3 linked regions of the Ovis aries genome follow. The protein of the gene in region 2 interacts with the protein of the main gene of each other region in a pairwise test. Links are inferred from orthologs where the notes say so. Each region holds a gene or a part of one and is shown on either strand. Other genes may lie near its edges.

Region 1 (3,740 bases), on a different chromosome or scaffold from region 2:
AGATGTTATGGGGAGGGAGGTGGGAGGGGGGTTCATGTTTGGGAATGCATGTAAGAATTAAAGATTTTAAAATTTAAAAAATAAAAAACTAAAATTAAAAAAAAATAAAAATAAAAAAATAAAACACATACGTACGTATATTTTTGGATTGTGTGCATGACATTAAAACATAAAGACACATCCCACAGATACACTGACACATAAACAGAGCTATTCTCTGACTCACTTGATAGATACGTGAACACAAAGTCTCAAAGGCCCAGATATACTGATCCATACATTTCCTCACAAAATGAAACAAATGTAAACACAGTCATTGATGAGAATGATAGCTCAGGACAGAGGAACAGGAACATAGTAACACACACGAAGTGACACAGTCCTAACACAGACCCACCAGACATTCCTACCAGGCCTTTAACCCATGGGGAGGTACCTCCTAAGGGTGTGCACTGGACCACTGGGAAGCTACGGGTGTCTGTGAGCACCTGGACTGGTGGGCCTCCCAGAAATCACTCCCCAGTCCCAGGCTTCCCCGGCACCCACCTGATTCCTGAGATACCACTTTCCGTGGGACCAGCTTCTTGATCTAAGCAGAAAAAAGTGTCAGAAGCACAAGAGGAGCCCTCACACTTCTAGGTCCACTCTCGCTTGTGGGTGGCCCTCAGCTGTGTCCAGCGAGTGCCACCACCCTCAGCTTTGTCCAGAGTGGCCTGCCCCTTGCCACCAGAGTCCCTGGCTCCGTACTCACTGGGGGAGGTGGGAGCACAAAGTTATCCGGGAAAAGTCCTCTTCTGCCTTGAGACTCTCCTTCCCACCAGCCCTTATCCTCTGTGACCTGGGAGAGCAAGAGGTCGTGGGGAGATGAGCCAGACCCCCAAGCTCCTTCCTTCCCTAAGCCCACGCTTCTCAACATCCCCCATCCCCGTGCCCTCCCTCGCCCTGTGTCTTGCCCACCTTCCTCAGTACTTTCACCTCATCACCCCTCCGAAGAGCCAACTCGTCTGGGGCCTCAGGATGGTAGTCAAACAGGACCCTGTAGGTCTCGGGGTAGGAGACTGAGGGGAGTTCAGTTCACTGATGCCAAATCCCCTCCCTGCACAAGTCATAGGCTCCCTCCTCCATCAGCCTACCTGGGCACCCCCTCCCCCAAGTCACAGGGGCTTGGGGAAGAGGATTTTGAGGGACCCTTTGGCGGGGTGCTCACCTGTCTGCAGGTAGTCTGGAGGGCTGTCATAGGTCAGGCTGCTCAGCTAGTGGGGGCAGGGGAAGGACCAAGCTGAGCCTCCAACCCCCTAAGAGAAACTGACCAACTTTGCCCACTCCACCCACTTTACCTTGGGAGGCCGCTGGGGACCAAGGATGACTGAAGGGATGTCTGGATTGCCAAGGCCTGGTGGGGGATAGCGAGGTTAGGGAGGGTGCTAATGCAGTTGAGGTCATGGGAAAGGTCAAAGGGGTCATAGGGCAAGATGTGCAGATCACAGGTTCAGGCCACTGGGGCAGGTCACTGAAGATTGTAGTCTGGTCACAGGGGTTCACGGGGTCACAGGGTCCAGGTCTCACTTGGGGGCCCACTGTCCAGCAACTCCACAAAGTTGGATGGGAAGGCTCCCAGCTGCCCGTTCTTCTTCCCCAGCCACCAGCCGTCCTCAATCTGGGAAGTGGGGAGGACGCAGGGGCATCTAGTCCTGCCCCAAGGGCCTCCCTAGCAATCTTAAACCCTGATTCACCCCGATTCTTCCCAGATGACCCCTCTCCTCCCTTGCCTCCTCACTTTCCCATTTCTGTGCCCCTCATCAATTCCATCACCCACAACCTCACGGCACCCGTCTCCTCACTCAGAGATTCCATCGTCTCCCCTCAAACCCCTCTCATCCATCACCTCATCCCCTCACCTCCTTTATCACTTCCACAATCTCCCCAGCTTGCAACTGCAGCTCGTCCGCCTGCTCCGGAGTGTAGTTGAAGTTTGCCTTGCACCATTTTCGGGGGCCCAGAAATTTGACTGAGCAACCTGGTGTCGGTCGAGAGTGAAGCAGCTTGAGTCTCACGCTCCAATCCGCGGAGCTGGGGGAGGAGCGGGACGCGCTGGCACCCTTCCTGAGTCTAGGCCCCACCCCAGGGCGGAGCATTGTACTTGAGAACCAATCACGGGTCGCGCCGTGGCCGCGCAGCCCCGCCCAGAGCCGCGCCCTTCAAGGCGAGTTGGGGACAACCTGGGCGCTGGGGCTCCGCGCGCGCGTATCCACGTGCACCCGCGCTCACCTTGGCGGCGCGCACAGCGCGGTCTCGGCGCCTCCCCCGAGCGGCGGAGAGTCTCCGGGATCTCCTGTGAAAGAGCGCACCGAGAGAGGGGCTCTCAGCTCCCTGGGGAGCGCGCAGAGAAACCCCGCCTGACCTCCGGCTCTACCTCACCTGCACCAGGGACTCCGGGAAGAGGCCACAGCGGCCTCCCAGCTCTCCACGCATCCAGCCCCGTGCGGGCCCCTTGCACACCTGCCGGATCACGTCACCAGGCGCCAGGTTCAGCTCTTCCTCCTTCTCCGCGCGATAACCGGCTAGGACCAGCACCTCTGCGGGCGGAGGATGGCGCGGGCACGCGGTTCAGAAGAGCCCAGTCGGGGCTGACTGGCCCTGGCGCGAGTCCCGGACCCAGTGTGGACAGCGAGAGAGCGTAGTAGTGGTGTAGGCTTTTAATGCTATTTCCAGGCAGAAGAGCCACCCCAAACCCTCTGCACATACCCATGGCTTCCGGGGCTTCTTTCGGAGCCGAGCAGGGAGGATGGTGTGGTAGCGTTAGCAGCCGAGTACTGGGTCCAGGTAGGTTGGGACTAGCCGCGAGATTGTGAAGCCAAGGAGGCGGAGACGCAAGCCCATAGGTTGGGCTCCGGTGCAGGGAGTGGGTGTGGGAGGGGGCGGCCCGGATCGGCAGGTTCGGCCCCCAAACTATGGGTAAGGACTCCAGGACCTCTGGCCAGTGCTGGGGTCACAGCTCCCCGACAAGCTATCTGCCCAACTACCTCCCCTCCTTATCCTAGCCTTGGCTGAGTCTCCGACACGCCACTGGCACAGAGCCGTCCCTGGCTTACCCTCTCCTGGTTCTTAGCTGCATGGGAGTCGACAGCATACCAGGGTGGGGCCCCCAGCAGGCAGCAACCGCTCTTAGACGGTCCTGGATGGGTGGAGTGGGTGGTGGCTCAGTGTGCACAAAGTTATTGCTGCTTTCCCTGGAAGGTGTATTCTCCCCGTAGTCCCTTCAAGGGGAGAGGAGGAGCTTAAAAACCCTTTCTTCAGGCCAATGGGGCCTAGCTTGTTTCAGGAAACACCACGGATTCTTCTCAGGGGAAGACAGGAAGGCAACTTCGGGAGCTTTCAAGGCTCGTGGTTTCCTACAGCCAACGCCAGAGCTGGCAAAGGTTAGTGCCAGTCCCAGGTGGGCCAGGCTAACTTTCAGATCATCTTCCTGCTTAGTGGTGAACACACAGAAGGCCAAGCATGTCATCCACACCCCTTGACCCCTGCCCCACTGCTTTGGAAGCCAAAGTCCTTGCTTACAATGACACCAGAGTGGAAAAATCTGGTTCTCCTAGGGTGTCTAAGGAACAGGATATGAAGCAAAATCACTGGAATGGGAATGAGGAGTTATTACCCAACACAGATTGGCTGAGGCTCCTCCCAGAACAATCTTGTGTGCAGCTGGAGGGGATGGGGCTGCAAGAGTCTGGGCCCAGCCCCGC
Region 2 (3,674 bases):
CACCTTCACACAGCATGGGAATGAGGACACAGGCTCCTGGCCTTCAGGCCAGTACTGAGTGGGCATCCTCTGGTCTCCTTAAAGAAAGGGAGGCTTCACCCTGGATACGATTCAAAATCCCCAAATTTGTTCTCTTTTATACAGCCCAGATCTACTGAGCCAAGGATATCATCTGAGGAGGGGCCGGGCCGGATGGCCTAGCTGAGAATACCATGAACGATCACTTCTGGAGCAGCACCTTCCCCTTTCTGTTTTTCAAAAGCAAGGAGCTTGCTCCACATTCCTCCAGCAATCTCCACATTCATCGCTCACTTTGTGACAGAGTTCTTCCACAAAAGGAGCCTCCTGAGCACGGGGAGAAGGAGTCCAGACCATGGGCAGGAGGCTTCCTCATCCCCAGTGTTCTTCCTCCCTCTGCCAGCATCCTACATCACACACACCGACAGAGCTCCTCTAAAACCAGAACAACAAATCAACACAGGCAGCACCCAGGGAAGGGCTCCAGGGTCAGAGGGCCAGAGTTTAAAAATTCAGGTAAACAAACAAACATCTGCCTTTTGCAAGCTGCGGGAAAGTCACTTTACTTCTTTGTACCTCGGTTTCCCCACATAGAATGACAAGAGCCAACTTGTATGGTTGATGTAAAGATTAAAAGGACATTTAAAACGGTGTCCGACAGGACCAAGTGCAGTGAGAACAAAGGACACTGTATCTTAGAACCAAAGAAGCCTCTCTAAAATGAGTAAATGTTCTAGAATAAAACTTACCAAATTTGATCAACACAGGTCTTTAACACTTGCTGTTAATAATTTGCCCCGTACATTTTGGTCTTCTGACGTTACTTTAACATTTGTTCACCTACTCTCACTATCGTATTCAGAAGCATTCTGTTTTGAACAAACATGGGACTAACAGGCAATTTAAGTGGTATTTATATATTTCTTAGAAAAGAATCTTTAAGCATTAATAGTAGTGTTCAGAAGGGTAACAGCAAAGAGCTGGGAACATTTCTGAAATGAGAAAAGTGATGCTTCGGAGGCACTCCAAGGGTTTAAAATAAGGATGGGGTCCCCTTGCCACCTGCTTTCAGGCGGGAATCCTGTTGTCAACAGATTCAGGAGCTGGACCACAGCCTGGGACTCAGAGGAGGAGAGACTTTCATTGAAAAAACTAATTTCTTTTTTAAATAAAATCATCATTCTCTTTCCTTTGCAAGATTGTTAAAACTCCAGATGTTCCCAAAGAGCTTTTTACATTGGCAGCAATCTTGCCAGAGATTTCACCTCTGTTGCCAGAGATTTCCAAACTTGACTGCCTAGCAGAATCACCTGAAGAGCTTTTAAAAATTCATACAATCAGGTCTCAACCCAGACCAGTGAAATGACAAAGTCTGGGGGTGGGAGCCAGACATCGTTTTTCGTTTGTTCTGTTTCAAATCCCAAGTGATTCTAATTTGAAACAAAGTTTGGGAACCACTGCTTTATGCCTTAGCGCTCCCGCATCAAACTCGCTCAGCACCATACCCTGTGCCAATGACCTCAACAGCAAGTACAGACCTGACTCTCGGAACCCAAGCTGCTCGATCTTGAAATTGGGCAATTAAACCTTCTGAGGCATGTTTCTCATTTCAAGTGGGTTTATGGTCGGCAGTCACGAAGCCAGACTCGCTCATGTTGGGTCTGGATATTTGGCACACGTGAATCACGGACATCAATTTTTTTTATTTAAATTAAGTTTAATATTTTGGTTGGCTTAATGTCAAATTCTTCAAAACTAGAAAACACATCCCAGACACAAAAATTTCTGGATTTTGAGGAGGAAAGCTTGCTGTGAGCCCTGTTTTGAAACCATGGAGAACCAGCCAGGATGGGTTCCCCCCTCTGGGGCGTTCGCACCAAGCCCCGGCTGTTTGGCCACGGCCTGTCCCACCCTCCGTCCCATCCACCTCGAAGCCGGGACACGCGGCCCACGGGCTGCAGGTGGGGGCGAGTCTCGGGAGTCCCGGGAAACCACCACTCAGGAGAGTCCACCGCCGGAGGGGCGCGGACGGCGGGGGCAGCTCGGGCCGCACCCGGGTGTGGAGGCGCCGTGCGAGCCGCCCCCTGGGGCCAGCGGGTACCTCGGCCCTCGCTGACTCGCAGCACAGGTGGCCGGTGCCCGGAACGAGCTTCCGGGCCTCCAGGTTAAGGCAGCTCTGGGAGGATGGCTCCCCGGCTCGGGAGCCTGACCGGAGGCTGGGCGCGGGTGCGGGGACGGGCGCGGAGGGCCGCTCCGGTCCTGGAGGTCCGAGGGAGCGAGGTGGACTCCGTGTCCCCCCTCGGCCCCCGGGCCGGGCAGACTGTGGGCGCACGTGCTGGGACGCGCTCGCCTGGGCGTCCAGCCCGCGGAGGGCAGGAGAGCAGAGGGGAGAGCCGCGCTGCGGGCGCCGCGGCCCGCCGCGCCCCGCGCCCCGCGCCGGAGGCTGCCCCGCCGCCCGGAACCGAGACGCGCATTCCTCCGCAGCCCGGCGGAAAGCGCGGCCGCCCGGGACGGGAAGGACGGCGGCGCGGGCGTCCTTACCTTTCTTCTCCTCCAGCGCTAGACTCGCCGGGAAGTGCGCGGCCAGCAGCACCAGGAGCGCCGCGCGGCCCGCCCGCGAGAGTCGCATCGCGCCGGGCTCCGCACTCGGTCGGGACGCAGCGGCCGCCGTGCGCTGGTCTCGGCGGCGCGGGACACGGCGGCGCGGGACGGACAGGGCTCGCGTGGGGCCGCGGGCGTGCGCACCGAGCCGGGGCGGAGGCTGCGCGCTGCGCCAGCCACCGGGACTTCTGGCTCGCTGGGGCGGAGGCGGGGGCGGGGGCGCGGGGAGGCCGGGCTGCAGGAGGAGGGCCCGGGAGGAGGGGCGGACGGCGCGCCTGGCCGAGGAGGAACCCGCCCGAGGAGCGCCGGCCGGCAGGACTAGGGGCGGCGGACAGCGGCTGCCCCAGGAGCCCGGTGTCCAGGAGGGGCCGTGAGGAGCCGAGCCGGGCGTCCCCCGCGGACGCGCCTGCGGTCTCCCTGATCCAGCCTTCTTCGAGCCACTTTTGTGCCGAAGTTGCCTTTTCCCCCTCTTTCTCCCTCCAAGTTGCGGAGCAAACTTGTACTAACTCCAGGCAAACTGGCTGAGCCCTAGGCCCAAGGCCAGATAAGGGTGCCTGGGGGGAAACCACCGCTTTGTTCCGGCACCCAACTCCTCTGAGCACCCTGGGATCTCAGTGGGGATCGAAAGTGGCCTAGCAGCTAAGACGTTCGTTAGCCGCGCCCTCGTGGCTGGGGTGGGTGCCTGGCCTCTGAGATGCGCTCTCCAGCCCGAGGGTCCTTCAGGTCGCGTCAAGCACCCTCGAATTCAAACGAAACAAGGACACCCAACTCCTGGCAGAGACTAGCCTTGGAAAAATGTTTGTTGAATGAATGCGTGGACACCGAAGGAGTATGCCAGGGTTCCATGAAGTAAATCGCTTCAGAAAGTCAAAGCGCTTAGAATAAAGGCTTAATATAAATACTAGCTAGATGCCCATCCGCCCAGAGACACCACGGTGTAACTCAAGCAAGAGAAAGACAGAGAAACCCACTAAGGACTGGGCAGGAAGAAATTAGGCTTTCTCAGGCTGCAGGATCTTTTTAGCTAAATTCCTTCAGCAAAGCCCACCCTAACC
Region 3 (3,744 bases), on a different chromosome or scaffold from region 2:
AACAGTTTCAATGGTGAACAGAAGACAGTGAAACGAAAGTAAATTAGAAACTTTTTTAAAAGCTATAGAAAATGCCTCTCTTCTATAATGACATTTAAAACAATCTGACTAGTCATGGTTTCATCCTTGTCAACTTTTCCATTATAAAGCATGGCAATGACCAGTACAGACAGCAATAGGACTCCTCTGTATTGTTTTAAGAGCACGGGCTCTCTTCACTCACAGATTATTAAACAGGACTGCTGCAGTCTTACGGACAAAAAAGACACATCTGAAAAAAAAAGATTTACTAATGCGTCTTGTACTTTCTAATGACTGTCAAGGAAGCTATTTAAATATTTGATTCCAGAAGGCAAAACCACTTTGGACAAAGTATAATAGGAAAGAATATATGTGTGTGTGTGTGTGTGTGTGTGTATGTGTGTGTGTGTGTGTGTGTGTGTATACCAGAGTCACTTTGCTGTACAGAAGAAATTAAGACAACATTGTAAAATCAACTATACTTGAATAAAATTAAAAAAAAAAACAACAACCTAGTTTGGGGAAAATCTTTTCATGTGGAATTGTACCAGATCCTGAATAAAACTGCCCCTAACAAGTGCTCAGCAACTCAAACTATAATCTGAGCATGACAGCAACCTGCTGGTAAGAGGTGAGTGCTGTAAACATCTAAGACTTCATGTGATATTGGGAAGAAGCAATTAAAGTACAAACGTGGGGAGAAGTGGTTTAGGGAACAGGAAGAAGAGATGGAGAAAGATAACTCGCAACTTGGGCTGGCTGGAAGGCAAAGGATAGCAGAAAGGTGAGGAGAGGTAATGGAAAGTTTACATGGGGAAAAAAAAAACACATCAGGATCCTACTCACTGCTGTACAGAAGTCATATATATATAAAATGGTCTGATGTTTTCATCCTAAAAAGTGTTAGAAACCTATGGAATGGAACTGAAAGTCAAGCATGGCTCAGAGATGCTGAAGCTCTGGGTCCTCACCCCAGATTTCACCATCCAGGAAGAGAGAGTTGCTGTGATAGCATCAGTTCTAACCAGCAGTTTGTAAGGTCTTTTCACTCATCTCTGCCGGAGCAACCCAGTCACGTGATGCGCTTAAACCAAACCGTGCCATTCAACTCCGAGAAGACAAGGACCTCAGCTCTACCCTCTAGAGAACACTTCGGACGACCTCAAGCCCACCCATCTCCTCTACACATCCTCACCCGTCTCTCTCTACTTACAAAGTTTAGGAGCAGTTTGGAGATTAGTTTCTGTTGATGGTGGCTGAGTGGCTGCCTTGGGTGTTCTCACGTCAGGGCTCCGAGTGGGTGAAGGGAGGGATGGAGCAGTGGACGGCCGGAAAGAAAAAGCGAAGATACGGTTCTTGGGGGTGGGGACCGCCGAAGGCTCGGAGGACCCAAGGGCATTGTCAACTTGCACTGTAACTCGAACCTCAGTTTCAGACTGAGCCCTGGAGACAGGTGAAGTGTACGCCTTGGCTGATACCCACACAGCAGCTGAAGCTGCAGTTGGATCCAGAGAAATAATAGGATCCTGGCCTAATCCCCCAGGGTCAAGGTGAGTGGGAGAGTCATACTCAAAAATCTTGTCCACAAACACCCACTTGAGGCCCGCGATGCAGAGGCAGAGGCTGACCAGGCAAGCCAGGATGGGGACGATGCAGATTTTCTCTGAGTTGAGGCAACCTCTCAGGCGCTCGGTTTCCAGGCAGACGCAGCAGGGAAGAGTCAGGCCCACGAGCCCCGGGGACCTCCCATCTTCAGTCTGGGTCTCCGGCATGTCTTCGGCTGCCGGAAGTCCGTCCAGAGATGGGTCTGCACTCAGCTGAGTGGAAGGGCTCGAGGACCTCTCAGCAGCTCCCTCGGACATGTCTGGGGAATAAATCTCCATCGGCTCACCTCCAGGAGGCCTGGCCTCTCACACTGTCCATTACCATGCAGAACCCCCCCCAACCAAATGATACAGCATCTTACAGGGAGAAATCGATAAGTCGTCCAAGTCCAAGGCCATTATCAAAAGCAAGAGGAGTTCAGGAGGAAGGCAGGGGAGGCCAAAAAAAAATCAACAACAACAACCAAATAAAAGTATATTGTAATTCTTGACTGCTGTTTCTGGGCCACTTTTGCAGTTCTTTTATATGCTTCTCCAAACCATCCTGGCTGGGTCAGGAAGACCGGAGGCCAGCGGAGAAACCCAGGAGCTGATGCGGCGGCGGTCGGTTAAGTAAACCAGTAGCCCAAACTGAAAGGCATGTTTCTCACCTCGAGCAGCTGCAGCTGGGGTCTGCTCAGATGGAGAAAGCAACTGTCATGCAGAAGAAGTAAAAGCAGGAGCAGGACCAGCGGCGGCGGCGGCGGCGGCAGCAGCGGCGGCGGCAGGAGCGGCAGCAGCGACAGTAGCAACAGCATCCTGTGGTGTGAGCGCGGCGGCTGAAAGGGGCTGAATCATCACAGAGCAGCAGGTGCCTGCCCTCCGAGCATCACGGCGAAGCGTCTCTTCGCAGAGCGCGCTGGAGGCGAGAGCGCGGCCGGGAGGGGCGGTCGCCGCGCTCGCCGCCCTGCCTTCTCCCCCACCCGCGCAGCCACTCCTCTTTGTCCTTCCCGAGGCTCATTCACTTTCTTCCTCTGCGGCTCCTGCCTTCTCCACAGTCTCTTCCCCTTGCCTTCCCCCTCTTCATCCAGAGACTCTCTCTCTCCCCTCTTTCTTTCTTTTTTACCTCCCTCCTCTCCCAACCCCCACCCCTCTATCCGCACTCTGGGGCTGCTGGCTGGTCTGAGTAGAATCAGGATACCCAGCAAGGCGGGACTGCCAGTGACTTCCTATTTTATCCAATTAGAAGGAATAAAGGCCATCAAATCAAAGAGAAGCAGGCAGACAGCAGTTAAGCTGAGTCCCCATGGCCCCCACCCGGCTAGCCTCCTTTCTCTCTCTCTCTTTCTCTCTTTTTTCCTCCCTACCACAGCTGCCCTAATCTTCCACCCCCACCTCCCATGCTCTAAAGTCTCCCTGGTTCTCTCTTCTGCATCCACTGTTGGGTCAGAAAAAGCCAGCGATCAATGCTAGCAATCTAACAAAGCTAGGATGAGGCGGGGGGTGGATGTAGGTGGGACCTTATGGGTTGGACCTGAGGCTTGGCAAAGTCTGATATCTGATTCCTCCCTAGAGAGGTAAGCTTTTCAACAGCAATTTCTTCCTGCCTGCTGCAGAGAGATAGCATTCCATCCCCAGCCCTCTAATAAGTTTTGTTCACCGAGAGGACTGTTATTGCCTGGTGTTTCAACCAACAGCAAGAACATTGTTTTTCTTTTTTTTCCTCCTAACCATGGACAGCTCTGCCTTCAGCCCTGTTGCAATGACTGGGTAAGACTTGGTGATGCCCAAGTGTGAAGTGTGGAATATACATTGGAGAAGGGGGTGCTCAGGGAGGGGAGAGAGGTCTTTATGTGCCCACACGGGTCCCCTTTAAATTTTCATCCTTCTGTCCCACTCACAGCAGTCCCGGACTGATGTCCAGCCAACAAGAAACACCAGTAACAGCTATAGAGAAGGCTCCCGCTTCATCTTGAAAATAGCCTTCACTGTGACTCCACACTGCGGAGGTTGAATTCCCTGAGCGCTGTAATGTATACCACATGTCCTCAGCTATAACTGCACTGCAAGGATTAAGAAGACTTTTCTATATAAGAGCACGCCTTTAGGGTTAAGTTTCAGGAGCTTTACCTTAAAGATA

What was found.
Region 1: the proteins of EGFR (region 2) and SH3D21 interact in a protein complementation assay, tested with the Homo sapiens proteins (2 studies listed by IntAct). The link is inferred for Ovis aries from reciprocal best matches to the Homo sapiens genes EGFR and SH3D21.
Region 3: the proteins of EGFR (region 2) and NRG1 interact in a protein complementation assay, tested with the Homo sapiens proteins (3 studies listed by BioGRID and IntAct, with this or other methods). The link is inferred for Ovis aries from reciprocal best matches to the Homo sapiens genes EGFR and NRG1.

What each region holds. Positions count from the first base shown.
Region 1 is NC_056054.1:11,176,653-11,180,392, reverse strand, and holds the start of SH3D21 (SH3 domain-containing protein 21), read right to left. Parts: upstream 2,816-3,740; 5' UTR 2,750-2,815; coding exon 2,746-2,749; intron 2,577-2,745; coding exon 2,419-2,576; intron 2,333-2,418; coding exon 2,269-2,332; intron 2,053-2,268; exon of another isoform or gene 2,018-2,052; coding exon 1,899-2,017; intron 1,658-1,898; coding exon 1,567-1,657; intron 1,550-1,566; exon of another isoform or gene 1,394-1,549; coding exon 1,338-1,393; exon of another isoform or gene 1,254-1,337; coding exon 1,208-1,253; exon of another isoform or gene 1,110-1,207; coding exon of another isoform or gene 1,059-1,109; coding exon 958-1,058; intron 839-957; coding exon 752-838; intron 590-751; coding exon 547-589; intron 1-546.
Region 2 is NC_056072.1:1,092,629-1,096,302, forward strand, and holds the start of EGFR (epidermal growth factor receptor), read right to left. Parts: upstream 2,810-3,674; 5' UTR 2,648-2,809; coding exon 2,560-2,647; intron 1,902-2,559; exon of another isoform or gene 1-1,901. UniProt on the Homo sapiens protein: Receptor tyrosine kinase binding ligands of the EGF family and activating several signaling cascades to convert extracellular cues into appropriate cellular responses.
Region 3 is NC_056079.1:27,643,909-27,647,652, reverse strand, and holds the start of NRG1 (pro-neuregulin-1, membrane-bound isoform), read right to left. Parts: upstream 2,511-3,744; 5' UTR 2,423-2,510; coding exon of another isoform or gene 2,234-2,422; 5' UTR 1,905-2,233; coding exon 1,235-1,904; intron 1-1,234. Other genes in the region: uncharacterized LOC128092250 homolog, read right to left, coding at 2,234-2,422. UniProt on the Homo sapiens protein: Direct ligand for ERBB3 and ERBB4 tyrosine kinase receptors. Concomitantly recruits ERBB1 and ERBB2 coreceptors, resulting in ligand-stimulated tyrosine phosphorylation and activation of the ERBB receptors.